3 linked regions of the Coturnix japonica genome follow. The protein of the gene in region 2 interacts with the protein of the main gene of each other region in a pairwise test. Links are inferred from orthologs where the notes say so. Each region holds a gene or a part of one and is shown on either strand. Other genes may lie near its edges.

Region 1 (4,242 bases), on a different chromosome or scaffold from region 2:
ATCCTTTATATTTCCTTACCAGAATCAACTTCCCATCCTTCAGCTCCCGCACTAGCGATGTCTCCTTCCCATCCCACTTCTGCACGTGGACCAGCTTGCCTCCATCTAGCTTGACCAAGGACTGTGGAGAGAGAGCAGAACCACCGTTCCCCTCATGGCTGGAGCTTTGCTGCTCCATCCTTGCAGCTTTGGATGCTCCTTTTCATCCCATTGGGTCCGGAGACCAGCATTGGTTGCCTCCAGGATCACTGGGTGCCAGCATCCCACCTGGCTCTACTCACCCAGGACACCAGCTGTGTCACAATTGTAGCCCAAGTTGAGCCTGTTGGCATCAGGGCCCACTGTCACGGTGACCCTGCCCTCCCTGCCCCACAGCTGCATCCTGAGCTGAGCTGTTGAACAAGCCCCTGCTCATCCAGGCTGCTGTTTGCACAGCCGCTGCTGTTGACTCAGCCCTGAGAGCCTGGGCAGTGCCAAGGTTAGCGTGACAGCAGGCTGGGCTGTGCCAGCGTGGGAAGTGGCAATGGCTGCCCAGCTCTCTTTTGCTATCTTCCCACTGCTTGGCACCCAGTTCTTTGCCTCCCAGTGACATTTCTCAGCTCCAGCCCAGGGGACCACATGCCCCCAGCTGTCCCAGCCTCTGGTCCCTTGCAAACCTCCCTGTGCACCCAGTACTGCTGCTCTCCTGGAGCACAGACACCCAAGGGCTGGGCTTCCCATGGCTCAGGTCCCCAGCACTGTGCAGGTTATACTGCATCTCCCTGACATGGCTTGAGTCTATCCTGCCCATGGCTTTGGTGTCTCCATGGGTCAGGGCTCTGCATGGCTTAAGATTCTCCATTGTTTGGGTCTTCTCATAGTTTGAATCTCCCAATGGTTGGATGTCCCCATAGCTTAGGACTCCCTTCATGTCCTCAGGTCACCCCGTTGCTTGAGTCACCCCACAGTTGGATGTTTCCATGGCTTGGGTCTCACCTTGATGTGGGTCCCTGCAACCCACTTGGTTCCCTCATGGGTAGGGGCTCTGCATTGATCTCATGGCTTAGGTTACCCATGGTTGGATGCCCCCAAAGCTCAGCTCTCCCCACTACTTGTATGTCCCCATAGCTTGGGTACCCTCATGGTTCAGGTCTCCCAATGACTTGGTGTCCCTATAGCACAGATGTCCTAATGCTTTGTGTGTCCCCATGGCTTGGGTGCCCTGCAGCTCAGCTCCCTTCAGAGCTCAAGTTCTCCTCTCCCTGCACCCCATACATCCTGGGTCCCCCCCAGTTTGGTGGCTCCTCACCTTGGAGCACCCCACAGCCCAGCAGCTCCACATCTCCCAGCTTGACTGTGTGGGGGGCTGACAGGCCGGGCCCCCTTTTATTGTTTGCCCTCTGGCAGCCAGCCGAGGGGTGCCTGAAGGGCATGTCCCTGGCTGCTTCACACACTAGCAGCCAAAGAGCTTTTAGCATAGTTTCCACCACCCTGAGCAGAGCAGCCCTACGCTTGGGGCTGAGCTGTCACGAGACAAAGTGGGCAAGCTGGTTATAGTCAAAGCTGTGCATGGAAATAGCTTCCAGGGGCCAGACCTGTGCTCTATTGCTGCTCTGGTTCCTCTGCAAGAGGAATGGCACCAGATGGAGCAGAGGATGAAGACAGAAGTATGCTGCAATGTCTGCCTGGCACTACTGCCTTGCTCACACTCAACCCGTTTCAGCCCAACCTCACACCACACCCAGCCCTGTGCCTGCTTCCCCATGGGGCAGGAAGGAGTTTTGTGCTCTACAAGCCTCGTGGTGGCCCCCGAATCTCTTTTGCAATACAGCCACTTGGTTACAGCATCACCTTCTGCAAAACCCAGTTGCAAATGGAGGCAAGGGGTGCAAAGGGAAAAGGGTGGAGGGAAGGATTCCCCCAGCTCCCTCACCTTGACATGTCTGTCATCAGCCGTGGTCTCATCGAACTCCTCGTTCAGCTTGAAGCTGATCTCTGTGTTCTTGAAGGTGCTCTGGGTCTTCAGCGTCACCTTGTCACCATCCACCTCGATGATGGTGGTGGGTTTGGTCAGGCCGGCCATCTGCCTGGTGGCAAAGCCCACCCCTGGTGGGAGACAGGGGGTCAACACTGCATCCCCATGCATCACCCCAGAGACCCTCCTGGGTTATTTTTCGGGAGGGGGGACCCACTGCATCCCCATGGGGTTGTATTTTTTGGGGAATCCGGGCATCACTCAGGGGCTGATCCTGCACATTTATGGCTGGGCAAGAATGGAAAACACCTGTGGCCACCACCCTCCAGACCCCTTCGGGGCTGCGGTCTCATTCTGCCCAGGGATGGAGGATTCAGGACAGCAGATGGGGGCACGCATCCCCCTGGAATCCCTTCTATCAGCCCTTCCCCCACACACCGGGGTTGCAGGGGGAAGGGGGGGGATTCCACCCGATCCCCCCCACCCCCAACCCCGCCAGCAGCCCCTCCCCAGCACAGCACCGCGTTGCGTTTTCCTATGTTTATTCCTATATTTTATTCTTCCTATTTTGATTTTCCCCTTTTAAACCCATTCAGCAGCCGACGATCCCCACCCTCCCCATTAAAAAAAAAGAAAGAAAGAAAAAGGAGGAATAAAACCCGTGGATTTCCGCCCTCCCGATCCGCCACTCACCCAACGCCTTCATGTACTCATCGAAATTCGCCGTATCTACCAGCTTCCAGGTGCCCACGAACGCGTCCACCATGGCGAAGCCGCGTGTATCCCCGTGTCCTTCTGTCCCCGCAGCGCTGCACAACCCACAGCTGCCGCCCGGCCCCGCGGCTCCTTAAATACCGGCCCCATCACATGATGGGAAGAGACTCCAGAAATACCCCGGCGGGGACGGGCAGAGCTGCCAACCGCCGCCCCCCGGCCGCCCCCTCCACCCCCGTCCCCTGCCCGGGCGCTGTGCGCAGCTCCGTTGCGGTCGCGGACACGCGTGGGTGCGTGGAGGTGAGGATGTGAGGTGCCGGTGACCGTGTGCTCATAGCGAGGAGTGGATGGAGAGGGCGAAACTGAGGCACGGGAGCATCCGTGGGGACACGAGGGACAGTGTGTGTGTGTGTGTGTGTGCTGGGGGTGCTGAGGGCAAAGACGGCCACATCCCCGTCCCTCCCATCCTATCCCTCCCATCGTTGGTGATTTCATTTTAACACCTTTGGGATCCCCTTAAATCAGCCCCATCCCAACAGCTGCCCTGGGCTCCTGGCCCTGCTGGGTTCAGGCTTGAAGCCTCATGGGTCCTATGGGTGCTGTACCCCCCTTTCACCCCACGGGTGCGTGTTCCCATAGGGTTGGTGGTATCCAGGACATGATCCCCACCTCCTTCAGGCTCAGGTTGCAGCGTGCCAGGGGATTGTGGTGGCAGTGGAATCTGGTGTCCCCTGCCCCAGTGGGCACACAGCCCTGGCACAGGGATGAGCCTCCTCCCACCCCTCCCAACTCCGCCAGCTGTGCCACGTTGTGACAGCTCTGGGGGTCCCGTGGGCCAAAGTGTCCCCAACCTGGGGTCAGACACAGGGGGTGGCTGTCACTTCTGGGGGGCGTATTTATGGGAAGGGGTGAGGGTAGAGCATGTGGGAGTCAGCCCCAATTTCTTCTGCCCAATTTCAGTCCGTTGGATTTGGGGATTGGGTGGGAACCATTGAGTGTCCCCACACCCAGCACTGCAAAGCGGTGGCAGCAGGGTCAAAGTGACCATGTCTGGGTGTCACTCAGGGACACTTTGTCTCTCTTTCCATCTCCAAGGTGTCATTGCAGGCACCTAAAAATAGCCAGGGACTCAAGTTCAGCGTCCTCCCCGTGGCCTCAGAGGGGCTGCGAGTGGCAGAACTGGGCAGGACGGTCACCAGCCCCCATGGGGACAGAGCATGGAGCGCTGTGTCACACGGAAACACACACAGTTTATTATCCAACCATGGCCCTGGGAGTCACTCAGCTGCCTCCCAGAGTGCACAGTGCTCCTTGAATGCACCCTCCAGGTGCCACAGAGAGGGGACAGGCAATAGCCTGGAGGGGTTACCTGTCTCTGCTCCTCCCAGTGCCATCCTTGGGCATCAGAGGCCCAAATGTGCATGGCCATGGGGCTCCCAGCATCACCCTGGTGCAGCGGGGCCATGAGACATGGATGTGCACACACGTGAACACACACACAAACATATGTGCACAGGGACAGCCATCCAGGGAGAACCCATGCACAGGGACATCCACACACATAACACTCACAT
Region 2 (3,974 bases):
ACTTACACAATATATAACTCCCAATGTTGTGGTTGATGACTGCTGTCTTCAGCTGAACAAAGACGTGACACAGCTGAAGGTGCTTCTTTACGAGCAAAGTTTCAGCAGCATCAATAAAGTCAAAGACAAACATGGCAAACTTCCATGCTGGTTGCGATGCAGCTGTTAGGCAGGTAAAAAAAGTGGTGCTGAAAACACCACTTATAGGTAAAAAAAGGAGTTTTTAGGTAATGCTAATATTCACAGCATACCTGCTTTATCTAATCAAGCCATCTCAGAAAGCTACTTACAGAATGAAAATTAAAATAATACTTGTAAGGCTTAAATATCATTGATACAGAGATCGTGTTTCTCCACAACATTCACCTTAAACTTGGCAACAGAGCAAGAAGAAGAACAAGCAGTGTCAAATATCCAGGTCTAATCCACAGGACCTGGAAAATTCAGCATGGGTGAAAGATAAGCCTATCATGCTCACAGATAGTTTCAGTGTCCTTGTCGCTGCGCAGAGCTGTGCCAAACAGCCAAGTGAATTTGTCCAGACACCAGTCAGTGTCACAGCTGCCACTGAGAATCGCACAGCAGCCACCATACCTGCCTCAGGTGCAATCTGCTGACCTTGGGAAGGGAAGTAAAAGCAGCACCGGGACGTTACTGCAATCAGCCACGTACACAACTGCTGCCCTCTTCACCTACCCAGCCAGCACAGCTACCTGGCATCACACCCAGGATGTTTCTCAACACTGGAAAAACACACTGAGTGCAGGCTACCGAGAGAACGTGTTTGAAGTCCTTCAAATCAATGCATGTAATCCAGAAATCTGACAACAGACCATAACACCGCAGTAAGCTGAAGCCATATACCACTTTGAATGCAATAAACACAGGACTCCTGAACAGTACATACACCCAGAATCTCAAAGCCTTCAGGAACTGCAGGTCATTCCACCACCTGCATTTACTTTCAGTGTAATATTCTTATCTATATACCTAGAAGCAGCAAGGAGGAAAATTACTTGGTTTTTTTTCTTCCTCTTTCCAACCCTCTCTGGGCTCTTTACTAAGGACACTTCAGCCCCGCCAGTTAACACCATTGAACTGCAGCATGGTAGCATAACGTGCTGGTTTCCATCTAAAACAATGCAATCTCAAAAAGTAAATATTTTCAAATAGTTTTCCACAGGATAATTCTTCTCCCATAAAGATCAGCTTCCCAGCCAGCCATACAATTAGAAAAACATCTGTCAGTCCCACAACAACTTACTAATACTCCCACATTTGGGGAACATCTATCAAGAACAGCAGGATCTGCCTGTTAGTTTCTATTTCAACAGCTTAAGAGGATCTAGGGCACTCAAGTTACAGCGTCCCTCCTTTGAACTAACTCATGAAGTCCCATAAAGTTTCTTCAGACATTAAAGGACATTCAGTCTACCCGAGCAGAAGACTTTCAGACATCAGTATTGAAGTCAATGAGAAAACTCAAAGCAATTTCAAGATGTTGGGATTTCTGAAGAATAACTATTGCCATTTTAGCAGCCATCATTTTGGTACAGACAACTCTTCAGAAGCCAACAGCACTAGAAGGAAGCAACCAACTGGGAACAGCTTTTTAGCCTTATTTTTTGGTCCCGCGCTATTAAAACTCATAGTTATGTACTATGATACACTTCACAACAACTGTAATCCTTACAAGTCAGAATCCAGCTGGGACAACCAAAAAGAAAACATTCACGACTCAGATGAGTGATAACTAAGCCCAATGACTGCCACCTGCTTAACCAGGCAAGACAGAAACTTTTCTAGACCAGTCTGGTTTGGAAGCAGACTGACTAGTGAAAATACCAGCTACCTTTTGAGTATCCAACTTCTTTCCTTGCCCATTCTTCCCAACAACACAGTGTGTTCCAATATTTTAGAACCTGAGTGTTCATAAGGCCAAAGCACTGAATTTCCCTACAAAAGCACTGAGCAGTGACTCACACAGGGAACCCAACGAGCCCTCCATTCATTTACATTGGAACTACAAAGGCTCCATAGAAACTCGTGGCATATCAGGACTAGCCCTGGGTTCTATCACCAAGAAGTTCATGTGCTGATTAGGAGAGGAGCAGAGGACGTTTCATGGGCTGGTTTAACACCTCCTGACAGGTACCACAGACACAGAGTTTCTCTGCAGGAAGCCCATCACAGACACGTTTTCACTTCTCCATCCCTCAGCACTCCTGCCCAGTTCCACTTCCAAAGGGGAGAGGACGGACCGACACCGTGGAAGCCCAGACTGACACCCAGACTACACGCGAGGCAGCAGCACCCAGACACGTGCCAGCCCCACGCCATCACTCACTCGATGCCCACCCTGACAGCACACAAATCCGGCAGGTGCAGACAGGCCCGTATCCGAGGCTTTTTTCCCCCAAAAGGGGCCTGGAATCGAGCGTGGCCGCCCAGGCCGCACCGCCATCCCCACGCCGCAGGCCGCGCCCCGGCCCCGCACAGCCCCCGCTTCAACCCCTCCCTGCGGCCGCGCTCCGAGCTCCGCAGCAGCCGAGGGAAGGAAGCAGGGACAGCCGGTCCGCCCAGAGCCGCCGCCCGCCCCTACCTGTGTCCTTCACGCCGGCCAGCAGCTCCAGCTGCTTCTCCTCATCCGAGCTGTTCATCCTGCCCCGCTCTATCTCACCTCTCCCGGCCGCACCTGGCACGGTTCGGGCGGTTCTCGTAGCCCCGGGGCGCGTTGGGCGCGGCGAACGGCCCGGCCCGCTCCGCTCTGCACATGCCCAGACTCCCCCGGCACCACAGTGAGCATGTGCGGGGTGCGGCGGAGCCGAGCCCCGGGCTGTGAGCGGGCACCTCCGTGATGGGGGGCGGCCGTGAGGACCGTAATGACGGCACGGAGCGACCCCCGGGGCGGCGGGGAGGGAGCGGGATCCGGAGGGGTGCGAAGGAGGCAGGCGGTGTGCTGGGTGTGCTGGGTGTGCTGCTATGCGAGGGGTCTGTGAGCAGATGAAAACTGCCTTCTCGTCATGTTCGCCTTGTCCCGGCTGGTACAGGAGGGAAGAGCTCCTGGGCAGAGAAAGGGGACTTTAATGAGCGCTTGTACGGAGAGCAGCATTCCCAAAGATTCCTGAAGCAGCTGCGGGGTGATTCCAGCGTCCAACGCAGACTAAAAGTTGGGATAATATCAGGTTTTGGTGGAGGTCGTGCTCTGTTTGTCTGTGAAGAACACATTTGTTCTTGCCAGCAACCCCAGAGGGGGGAAGGAGAGGATCTGGCCATGAGCATAGAATCACAGAAGCATTTGACTGTCTGGTCTAACTCCTTGCAATGAATGGGGACACCTACAGCTCCATCAGGTGCTAAGAGCCCCATCCAGCCTGATGGGTGTCTCCAGGGATGGGGCATCCACCACCTTTCTGGGCAACTTGTGCCAGTGCTTCACTGGCCTTATTGTAATAAACTTCTTCCTTACATCCAGTCTCTTCTTCCTTATATCCAGTCTAAATCTCCCCTCTCTCAGTTTGAAACCATTTCCTGTTGTCCTATCACAGCAGACCAGAGCTCTCTCTCTGATTCTATCCCTGTGCTAAAGCAGTGACCCTACCAAGCTCCTCTGGATCCTGGCCCTGAATGCACACAGTCACTGCAGAGTTTGTTTCTACCCTATTTATTTATTTATTTATTTATTTTTTTGCTGAACTTTAGAAACTTTAAAAAGTGAAAAGTTTGAAATAAAATTGCTGTCTTTGTTGCTAACTAACCAAATGCTGTGAGTCTCGTGATTCATAATGGACAGTGCTAGGATAAATCTGAAGTTGAGCTCACTTTTAAAAACCTCCTGTCAGTCACACTGGAGCTGCTCACAGTAGCGGTCCATTGAACCGCAGCAGTCTTCAGATTCATTCTTTAAGCACTGGCAAAGGCAAAGCTTTTCCATCTCCTTCCTTGGCAAGTGCCCATAGCACACCATGGCATCC
Region 3 (3,515 bases), on a different chromosome or scaffold from region 2:
ATACAGGGTAGATGCATTTGATAAGGTACTAGCTTTCTGCACAGACTGCAGGGAGGGAGAAGACCATTTTGAAGGATTCTAGCCAGCACCCATTAAGGTTACAACACCAATACTGCACTGAGAGAATCCACAAATCACAAGAATACTATTTCTACTGGCCCTACAGGGAGTAGGAAAGCTGAGCTGGGGCCCATGTTTGCCTTCTCTACCTTTTCTCTTCAGAGAAATCTGGAGGATGCAACATGCGACACCACAGATAAACTGGCCTTGAAGATGTATCAGGTGGGAGGGATAATGGTAGGTTTGCCCACAAGCAGGGAACTGTTTCCCTCCAGCTAACAGTATGCCAGATGACTCCAAACCTCATGCAGACTTGTGACTAATTCCTCCTTTTCCCACGGTACAGGAATCTTACCTCATTTCCAGCAAAGAACAACTACCCCAGTCACAAAGGAAGACTTAAAAAAACAACAGGTTTTCTTACCTCTCTTTGCGGCCCCCTAGCTTGCGCGCTGTATATTGATCCCCATAGTCCACTAAGGAAAGATGACGGGAAAACACAGTAATTTTGTTGCCCACAAACAGATCATCAAGGTGTAAGCTCTCATACTTGGTGCGCTTCAGAAAGGTACGATGGTTCTTCACATCATACTGCAGACAAAAGAAGATTAGAACCTACTACAGCAAGAGATCTTAAGCTGTTGGCAAACTCCACGTAATTCTTACTTTCCCTTCAGAAATTTCCATAGCTCTGTGGGATTTAATCTGATCATTAAATTGATTTAATTCTTAACCCTGTGAACTTGCACGTGCACCAGGAATGCTTAGAGGATAAAACCACACATTTGTTCCAGTTAAATAGTCTCAGGGTGATGGCTGTCTTCACAGTTTTTATTACTTGCTTGTGCTAATTCCAACTATGATAGATGCTTCACATCCCTTGTGGATATCTCTACCCAGTCTCAATGAGAATCCCCCACCCCCTCCAGCAAGTCCATGTTGTTTCACAGGCCAATGGTTTGAAGCAGTAGTGATCATAATACACACTGTGGCAGGTCTCCTCTTCAGGGCACTGTTCCAGTGATATTATGCTTTATTTGACTGCTTAAAACTCTGAATTAAGGATGGATGGATGGCTGCAGCACTACGTTGAGAAGTTCTCAACTGCCTAGAGCTGCAAGCTCAAAAGCCTGTCAAGACGATTCAGCTATGTATGGACATTCTGAGCAAGAAGGAAGACATTAATGTGAGATTTTCTGGGTGGATTGCTAAAGCACAAAAGACAACCTCACAAACAGTTTCTTCCCTGCTACAAGTAAATATTACAGATCCCTTCAATTTCTTGGAGAAACAATCTTAGAAAAGTTTTGTCCTCTTCAGGCTAAACTTTTTTTTTTATTTGATACTTTCTAAGCAGGATTCCATAATAAAATCATCCTTAGCTCTCACCTACATGCTCCAGCTCAGTGCTCTTCAGTTTCAAGAAGAGTCCTATTAACTGAATCATAGTTATTAACTATGGAAAACTTGGATAGTTGGAGATGGCTCTGTCTAAGTACCCAGTCTGATCACAAATGGTTGCTTGCTGTCCCTGGACAAAAACCTGTGCTGCTTTCTAACGGATGCAAAGCAAGCAGGAAACTGGTTGCATTATTTCCACTGTATTTTTCCTTCACGGGAAGGAGCAAGAAAGAAATGGGAAGTTGAGAACTTCACATAACATCAATGTCCAACAGCTCTATTCCACTTTCAGCTGAAGCATGTACAAAGGAAAGTTATCACTGCAGAGGTGAGAGAAAGGTGATGCAACTGCTCTCTCATAAGCAGAGAGAAGCCGGCTCTCGTCCATTACCTTTCTTCTCTGACAATGTACTAGAGGTAAAGTGAGCAGCTGCCATCTCCTCGGGAAGATACAAAAGATCCAGAAGAATTTTGCAGTAATGAAGAAGAAAAAAAAATGCCAAACTCCAAATAAGTTTTCAAAACCATAAATAAATCCAGAAGATAATCTCAAATGTAATTTCTGTCTACAATTCACCTCCAAACTGATCTTGTAGAATTCCTTCTGCAGAGATTCTACATGCATTTTTGCTTTTTTAGCAGTTATATTGATCACACGCAGTCCATGCAAACTCATGACTGCATACACACACTACCTCAACCCTGAGAACACAACTGACTAAATATAAGAACCTACCAAGTTGCAGATGTTTGATGCATAAAGCTCTAAGACAGCCAAAAGCACCTTGAAAGCTCTTGGTTTTGAGACATCCAGGAGAAATGAACAACAATTTTGTCAGCCTACACATGGCTGTGTAGGAAGATTATTACGGCTTCTGACTGATTAGCTTAACTGTGTCTAAGAAAAAAAAATCCTCACGTTTTGACAACTGTGCACACATATCATACAAATAACTAACTTAAAAGGGACAACATCATGGTGGAGTTTGTTTAAAGAGACTATCAGTAAAAAGTGCAAAGTGCATCTCCTCACACAGATGGGTACCGTGGTTTCAGTAAGCAATAGTTTGGATAAGAAAAGTAAGAAAAGGTAGATTCTGATAGTTCTGTTGTTTCTGTGTTTGATGTGTAAGGCAAGAAAGTTTAAGAACTATACTGAAATTAATAGATGTGAATACACAAATTTAGGCTATTCTTAGACCTTCATATGCTCATTAAAATCTAGAAAAGACTAGTAAAAGAATAAATAATCATTAATTCATTCAAAAGGGGAGCACAAAGCATTGGCTATTTTGTTGGATTACCTGTACAGGATTATCTGTACTATATGCTTGTTTTATCTTCATTTTTTTTTTATTGTTAGAAGGCTTAGTTAAATGTACCATAAAATCAGAAAGGTCCATACAAGCACCAATAAGGGGAAAAATTTGTATTCCATTCTCAGAAACATCCTTTCATGCATTAAAACCAAATTAGTTTACCGTTTCCTTCACTTTGATAGAAGTTGTTTACAGTTAATGCTTCAGAGGCTTCTAGAATTCTAACTGAAGCCTACTCTTGTTAGGAATCACCTTCAATTTGTTCCTGCAGTAGGTTGATGGTGCTGAGTTCCAATACTTAAATCCAAGAAAAGATTAAATAAAAACAGATCTGTGAAAATGAAATGCTCCAAGCTTAAGATAAAACTCGTTAACATGGCAGCTCTTGCATGTGCTCCACTATGAACTAGCACATTTGTTTTTCTTCTAGTTTGAAAAACAGACTTATGTCTTAAACTACAACTTAATTACCTGGAAAAACAAATGGCAGTGGTCCATTTTATAAATAGCTTAATTGAGTAATATATTTAAAATTACAGACTTTTTTATTCTTACCATTTCAACTGAGCTATCTTTTGGATAATACAGAAGCTCGTAACGCCGAAAGAGTGAAGCATTCGGGTCATACCATTCAGCAGTGAAAGCAAATCTGTCATCTTGACTCTGCAAAAACAAAAGGGAAGGCTACTGAAGTAATCATACACTTAATAAACTGTACCATTTCCTTGCATTTAT

The links. The genes of interacting proteins can lie anywhere in the genome.
Region 1: the proteins of SHTN1 (region 2) and FABP3 interact in binary tests that used the Homo sapiens proteins (3 or more experiments, as listed by UniProt). The two-hybrid records come from large-scale screens. The link is inferred for Coturnix japonica from reciprocal best matches to the Homo sapiens genes SHTN1 and FABP3.
Region 3: the proteins of SHTN1 (region 2) and NME7 interact in binary tests that used the Homo sapiens proteins (3 or more experiments, as listed by UniProt). The two-hybrid records come from large-scale screens. The link is inferred for Coturnix japonica from reciprocal best matches to the Homo sapiens genes SHTN1 and NME7.

The regions. Positions count from the first base shown.
Region 1 is NC_029538.1:624,177-628,418, forward strand, and holds the start of FABP3 (fatty acid-binding protein, heart), read right to left. Parts: upstream 2,806-4,242; 5' UTR 2,721-2,805; coding exon 2,648-2,720; intron 2,086-2,647; coding exon 1,913-2,085; intron 122-1,912; coding exon 20-121; intron 1-19. UniProt on the Homo sapiens protein: FABPs are thought to play a role in the intracellular transport of long-chain fatty acids and their acyl-CoA esters.
Region 2 is NC_029521.1:25,856,737-25,860,710, forward strand, and holds the start of SHTN1 (shootin-1), read right to left. Parts: upstream 2,804-3,974; 5' UTR 2,661-2,803; coding exon 2,603-2,660; intron 1-2,602. UniProt on the Homo sapiens protein: Involved in the generation of internal asymmetric signals required for neuronal polarization and neurite outgrowth.
Region 3 is NC_029516.1:74,973,352-74,976,866, reverse strand, and holds part of NME7 (nucleoside diphosphate kinase 7), read right to left. Parts: intron 3,444-3,515; coding exon 3,336-3,443; intron 652-3,335; coding exon 485-651; intron 1-484. UniProt on the Homo sapiens protein: Possesses an intrinsic kinase activity. Displays 3'-5' exonuclease activity with a preference for single-stranded DNA. Does not seem to have nucleoside diphosphate kinase activity.